Ovis aries: one gene and its partner. Each later gene encodes a partner of the first gene's protein in a complex. Links are inferred from orthologs where the notes say so. Each region holds a gene or a part of one and is shown on either strand. Other genes may lie near its edges.

The links.
Region 2: the proteins of ABCC9 (region 1) and KCNJ8 are in contact, whole or in part, in a cryo-EM structure (PDB 7MIT), measured with the Rattus norvegicus proteins. The link is inferred for Ovis aries from reciprocal best matches to the Homo sapiens genes ABCC9 and KCNJ8. Residues at the interface, in XP_038963045.1 of Rattus norvegicus: Phe5, Ile10, Tyr13, Asn14, Ile15, Val19, Asn22, Cys24, Phe25, Ala28, Leu29, Val32, Val35, Phe36, Phe39, Phe42, Pro43, Ile44, Phe46, Ile47, Gly48, Trp49, Gly50, Ser51, Lys55, Gln57, Ile58, Asn129, Phe130, Lys132; in NP_058795.3 of Rattus norvegicus: Met1, Leu2, Lys5, Ile7, Ile8, Pro9, Glu11, Tyr12, Val13, Leu14, Ala15, Arg16, Ile17, Ala19, Glu20, Asn21, Leu22, Leu45, Ala46, His47, Lys48, Asn49, Gly54, Arg55, Phe56, Leu57, Asp59, Ile60, Thr62, Thr63.

What each region holds. Positions count from the first base shown.
Region 1 is NC_056056.1:193,842,118-193,845,950, reverse strand, and holds part of ABCC9 (ATP-binding cassette sub-family C member 9), read right to left. Parts: intron 947-3,833; coding exon 752-946; intron 1-751. UniProt on the Homo sapiens protein: Subunit of ATP-sensitive potassium channels (KATP). Can form cardiac and smooth muscle-type KATP channels with KCNJ11. KCNJ11 forms the channel pore while ABCC9 is required for activation and regulation.
Region 2 is NC_056056.1:194,013,018-194,015,914, reverse strand, and holds the end of KCNJ8 (ATP-sensitive inward rectifier potassium channel 8), read right to left. Parts: intron 1,777-2,897; coding exon 876-1,776; 3' UTR 698-875; downstream 1-697. UniProt on the Homo sapiens protein: Inward rectifier potassium channels are characterized by a greater tendency to allow potassium to flow into the cell rather than out of it.

The DNA of each region.
Region 1 (3,833 bases):
GACTTTCTTAAGAACAGAAAATATAAGGTTGTAAATTTATAACAGCAAATATTTTACACTATATAGTCCCCAGTAGTAACATAATGTCTAATAAAAATATAATGTGACTTGACCTGATCATTATGAAACAAGGCGATGGCTTTCACTATATAGGAAACCAAATCAAGTCACATTGCCCACTTCACTGGTCACTGAAAGTGAAGTCGCTCAGTCATGTCCGACTCTTTGCAATCCCATGGACTGTGGCCTACCAGGCTCCTCTGTCCACGGGATTTTCCAGGCAAGGGTACTGGAGTGGGGTGCTATTTCCTTCCCCAGGGGATCTTCCTAACCCAGGGATTGAACCCAGGTCTCCCACATTGCAGACAGACTCTTTACCATCTGAGCCATCTGGGGAAAAAGTGACTCAGCCCCAAGGACTCATGAATGAAAATTCTTTACAGGATTGCTAAAAAGATCTAATAAAATAACCAATGTGAAATTCCTGAGCATCATTTGCAGAACACTGTAAATGCTATTAAATGTTTATAGCCTCTGAATCTGAGAAATAATTTCATTGGCCAAATCCATTCAATGAATACATAATGTTTTTCTCTACAAGGAAAACTACAGTTTTCATTCTTTTAAAAAGCATTCAATTCTCTGTTAATAAGACTGTCTGCACTGCTCATAAAACTGCATTTTAAAAAAGTTAACGATTAAAAGAAATTTGTCAATAATATATTTCCATTCAAAGGCACCACAAACTTACTCTTGTTGGGTTATTTGTTTCATTCTGGGTTTCATTTACACGCTGAACTATTCCAGAAATACAGAGAGGTCCGGCAAAACCCAGTAAGTCAGCAAGATAACGAAATGTGCTACTAAGTAGAATTGGTCTCCCAAAAGCTCTGTACATTGCCAGCCATATAGATGGAGTCCGATTTGGGTCATCTGCCACTTTTTTCTGAAATAAAAAAAAAAATTTGATGAACCAAAATAAAATGATAAAGTGGCAATTAATCTTAGCCACTATGGAAATCTCTTCTAGTATTTCTGATATTTTAAAAGATAAAAATAAATGTTACTGAGTCACTTTCAATATACTACATATAGTTTGGTATTCCTGCATTCTTGCAACCAATAGATAATTAATTTTTAAGTAGATATTTCCATTTATTTAGCTAATTATTTTAATTTTGAACACATTCCAAAACTTTATATGTATGTAATATATATATTTAGTTCTTAGTGGCTTAACAATGTGTTGGTTTCTGCTGTACAACGTCAGCAGAATGTATGTAAGTATACATACATCCCCTGCCTCTTCAGCCTGCCTCTCATCCACCCCCATCCCACCCCCCTAAGTTATCACAGAGCACCAGACTGAACTCCCTGTGTTACACAGCAACTTCCCACTAGCTTTCTATTTCCCACATGGTAATGTATATATTTTAATGTTACTTTCTCAATTCATCCCACCCTCTCCTTTCTCCACTCTGTCCACAAATCCATTCTCTATGTCTGCATCTCTATTCTTGCTCTTGCAAACAGGTTCATCACCATTTTTCTAGATTCCATATATATGCATTACTGAATGCATTTTAATGAAAGAAAGAGAATGAAGAGTAACCAGGCAAATTTTTCAAACATTTTGTATTATTTTTAGTTGTCAAAGGATGACCCCAAATTTCCAAAGTCCAAATTAAGCTTAATTCCCTTTGATTTAGAAAATGAACATATCAGTTATGAATATTATCAAATGATGCTGTATGGAAAATAGTGAAATACAAAGTACAGGTTATTGACAGTCTAGTTAAGATTTCTGAAGTTTAGTTAAGATCTAAGATATCAGGTCACAAGAGATTAAGTTATCAAATTATTACAAGCTAAACAAAAGAGATCATCCTGAGGTAGGAGACAATGTGCCTCTGGGCCAGACACCTGGTGTTTGTCAGGTGGAGTAAAACTGAGCTTTTGTTCTAACCCAGACCCTCCAAAGACAAAGCTAGTGGCAAAAGTTGAGCTCTGCTAAAGCAAAGAGATAAAAGTACTCGCTCTTGAGGTCAAGGAAGACTTCCTGTTTGCATATGTGCCAAAAGGCTTCTTGGGGGTTGAAAAGGGAGGGGAACCCACCCCATAAGTGTGGACATGCACCATAGACCTCTGAGGTGGGATCCACCTTAGAGAAAAGTTGCTCACACATCTTGAGGAGGGTCCATGGACCAGCCAAGGGTGAAGAAAGAAACAAAGTAATTGGCCAAAGGTAAACAAAGTCCCAGAGAGACTGTCTTATATAAGTGATTTACATCACCTCTGTACTGAGCTCCTCCTCACTCAGGATGCTCCAACTCCTCTCTGCATGTGTCTCTCTGCCTAGCTTCTGACATACTGCCCTCCTCCTCACTAGAGAGGATGCCCATACCCCTTTCCTCTGGGTGTGTATCTCTGCCCTGGTTCTGAGTTAGATAAACAAACTGTTTTCCTGTATGCTTTCCCACACATTGTGCTATGTCTCTAACAATAAACTTTGTACCTGTTATTACAGTTTTTCCCTCCTTGAAACATTCTTGCTTTCAAATAGGGGCAAGAGCCAGGGCCACTATGCTTCTACCTCTAACTCCTGGTGGTCTAGTCGCTAGGACTCTTGGTTTTCATCCAGGTTACCCAGGTTTAAACCAGGCAGGGAACCCCACCCTTCAGGACCGCTCATGTCTCTTCAAGGCTCTCCCTCTGAGATCAATCCTAGCTTCAAACTGTTTCTTCTCCAGGTATTTCCTGTCTCCATATTAAATGGGGTCAATACTTTTTAAAGTTATGTTAGACTTGTGCCTCCTAGTTATTACTTAAAGAGATGCAAAATGAAGAATGGTATATCTACTTATGCCAACTTGTGGCTTCACAGTTCTATACTCATTTGTTGAAAAGATTTCAAGACCTGAACAATCATAATTACATCTTGGCAAAGAAGCTAACTCAATGCAGTGGAGTTCAATTGTGTTTCATATTCAACTCCTTGTGAGATGAATAATTTTAAAGCTTACTGATATTTAAGCAAATCTGTGTTATAAAGAGCATTCAGAAAACTAAAGCTATGCTTAGACTATATTATTAATCTTTATTTAGAAGTTGTTAAAAAACTATGCAATACTTTTCCCAGAGGTGAAACCAGAGAGATGACTCAGGTTCATCTGTAGTAACCATTTCCTGGATTAATAATTTCATAACACACATTTTGACACAAAACAGAGGTCATTTTCATCATTTACCATAAATGCTTTGTTGATCTAGATTTAGAACAGCCAAAAACTCTTTAACTGATCCACCATACAGTATTTCCTTCCAATGTTGGTATAAATATTCATATTTTAATTACAATAATATTTGTAGGCAACAGCAATATAAAATACATCCTCCACTGTGACTAGCACACAAGACTACTGAGAATGATAAAAAGACAAATTGAAAATATCCAAAGAGTCTCATATTTAAATCTTTGAAGGCAGTTATAAATACCCACAGAAAATACCAGCAGAAATCAATTTTGCCAGACATATAGAGTGATACATGGAATAGGCAGATGATGCCCCTTTATTTAATTTAGTTTCCCAATTTTGAAATGCAGAGTCCAAGTTTTAATTAATATTTAATTTAAGGATTTTCATTTCTCAAAAGTTATTCCTGGATATGATCTATTTTCCCTTTAAATAATAAAATTGTCAAGATACTTGAAACAAAACAATGAAAAATCCGTGGATTATTAATATTAAGCACTCTCTGTCCCTCCTCATGTAGTGACTGGGCAACTAACGTAACATACTTCATTGGCTTTTCCAGTATATTTCCAGCAGCCC
Region 2 (2,897 bases), about 170 kb from region 1:
AATTAGCAAGTTTCTGTTCATGTTTTCAAGACCCTGAATGAGAAGTTAACAGGAACTTTCATTCATCAGTCATATTGTGGGGTGATTTCTAGCTTTGAAACATTAAGCCTTACACTGCAATAAGCTGATTTAACAGAATAGGAATTTTGGTTTCTAGTTAGATTCCATTATGTTCATGTAGGAATTATGTTCATGATTAGAACTGAACTCAGTTGTTGTTTTCCAATTTCACAGATGTTCCTGCCTAACATTTTAGTGCAATTTCCCAATACTATTTCTCCTCATAATATACAATTTGAGGAACAAATAAAATCCAATATTTAAAAATTAATCAGCAAAATAAACAAAAAAGCAAAAAAGGAATCAAGCAGTTTTTGCCTCAAGCTTTGTACCTGGTGTAGTTTTAAAAAGAGAGGGAAAGGGAGGTAGGAAAAACATAGTTTGGGGTCATCTTGTCCATTCTATCCCTTTTCCAGGGTGAACCATAGAAACAGACATCTGTGATGTCACCCATTAAGCATTTCAAGCAGTATCATTTCTTGACCCGCTTTTGTATTCAAGGTCTATTACTATTCTTGTAATTCCTGTGTTTCAAATGGACAGAAATGAGAGCATTTCCTCTGTATAACCTAAGCCTATCACTTAGGGTGATAGGGTGATATTGCAAGGGTGAAGCAAGTGTAAGACAGGAACCCTCCACCTTGTGAGTTACCATTTATTGACACAGAAAGTGCTGCTGTTGGAATATGCATATCATTTAGTGTAATAAGATAAACAAGGACAAATTATTGTGTTTCAGCTCCAGTGCAATCTGTCCATGCCCTGCAGAAACTCTTCAACAGCGGATCAAAGACTTTCTGGGGGTTGTCTTGCTGTCAGGATTCGGAAGTGTTCTGATTTCCCTCGGGAGTCATAAACTGCACCTTGGGCACCATGAGGGAAGAATTGTTCCGGCGGATGGAATTGTTCCTCCTCATGGAATTGTTTCTTCTCATGGAATTGCGCTTCCTTAGAGAATTCTGATGGGACAATTCACTCTTCTGGAGGGTCTGGATAAGGATGGAAGGCTTCTCATCCAGCTCTCGGGCACTGCACCTTGGAGCAGCTACTTTCACGGTGTTGCCGAATTTGGAGTAATCCACAGAATACACACCTTCCTCCTCGGTCACGATGGACACGAAGCGATGGCCCCACTGGATCTCCTCAGCGATGTACGAGGTTCTAGCTTGTGTAGTAATGCCAGTAGTTTCGACCACTCCTTCTAGAATCACGATGACCTCCAGGTCTTGGTTGGCCAGGTCAGTGGCCGAGATATCGTACAAGGGGCTGCGCTTGTCAATCACATGGCAGATGATCAGAGGGGCCACCAGGAAAATGTTATTACTCTCAAGTGGGTTGTCAACAGGAATGTCCAGTTGGTGAATAGGTACCACCTCGCCTTCTGGGGTCGTGGTTTTCTTGACCACTTGGATGCGCACAGAGGCACTGATGATCATGCTTTTCCTTAGGTCCCCCACGCGGAACATGAAACACAGTTTGCCATTTCGGACGGCAATTACCGCATGGCGGCTGAAAATCAAGGTTTCCGCCCTTCGGTGAGCTTGGGCTGTTTTCATGAAAATGCAGCCCAACATGACTGCATTGATGATCAAACCCACAATGTTCTGTAGAATCAGGACTGTGATAGCCAGAGGGCATTCCTCAGTCATCATTCTCCCTCCAAATCCAATTGTCACTTGAACTTCAATGGAGAAGAGGAAGGCAGAGGTAAAAGATCTGTAAGGAATGAGATCAGAAAACAGTGCCATCAGTTCAGATTTTTGAATCAGGAAATAACACTGAAGCTGAATTTTTCATGTTCTCCTTTCAAAGGCTAATTTTTTTCATAAGTATTGTGGATTAACAATTTTGTGTTACTTTCTGGTACACAGCAAAGTGATTCAGTTATATATGTTCTTTTTCAGATTCTTTTCCTTTATGATGGCTATATAATATTGAGTATAGTTCATGTCATACAGTAGGTCCTTGTTGGTTATCTGTTGTGTATATAGTAATATGTATATTTTGATCCCAAACTCCTAATTTATTCCTCTCCCCTCCTTTCCCCTTTGGTAACCATAACCTAATTTTCTACATCTGTGAAACTAGTTCTCTTTTGTAAAGAAGATCATTTGTATCATATCTTTAGATTCCACATATGAGCTATATCATGATATTTGTCTTTCTCTGGCTTACTTAGTATGAGAATCTCTAGGTCCATCCACATTGCTGCAAATGGCATTACTTCATTCTTTTTAATGGCCGAGTAATATTCCAGTGTGTGTGTGTGTGTGTGTGTGTGTGTGTGTGTGTGTGTGTGTACTACATCTTCTTTATCCATTCACCTGTTCATGTCCAAAGGCTGTTAAATACTTTTGGAAACACTAGCCAACTTAATGTATCAAATGCCCTATTCTAAACACAAGCACTTGTTCATTTTCTCTCTTATCTGCATGTATCATTGTGAAATACTTCACTTTCACAAGTGAAAAGTGAAAGCGCAAGTTGCTCAGTCGTGTCCGACTCTTTGCAACCCCATAGACTATACAGACCATGGAATTCTCCAGGCCAGAATACTAGAAAGGGTAGCCTTTCCCTCGTCCAGGGGATCTTCTCAACCCAGGAATCGAACCCAGGTCTCCCACATTGCAGGTGGATTCTTTACCAGCTGAGCCACAAGGGAAGCCCAAGCATACGGAGTGGGTAGTCCATCCCTTCTGCAGGGGATCTTCCTGACTGAGGAGTTGAACCCAGGTCTCCTGCATTGCAGGCAGATTCTTTACCAACTGAGATATCAGGGAAGACCTTCACTTTCACAAAGGCATAGTTTATTTTGTTAAACTCCTTCAAGCCGATGT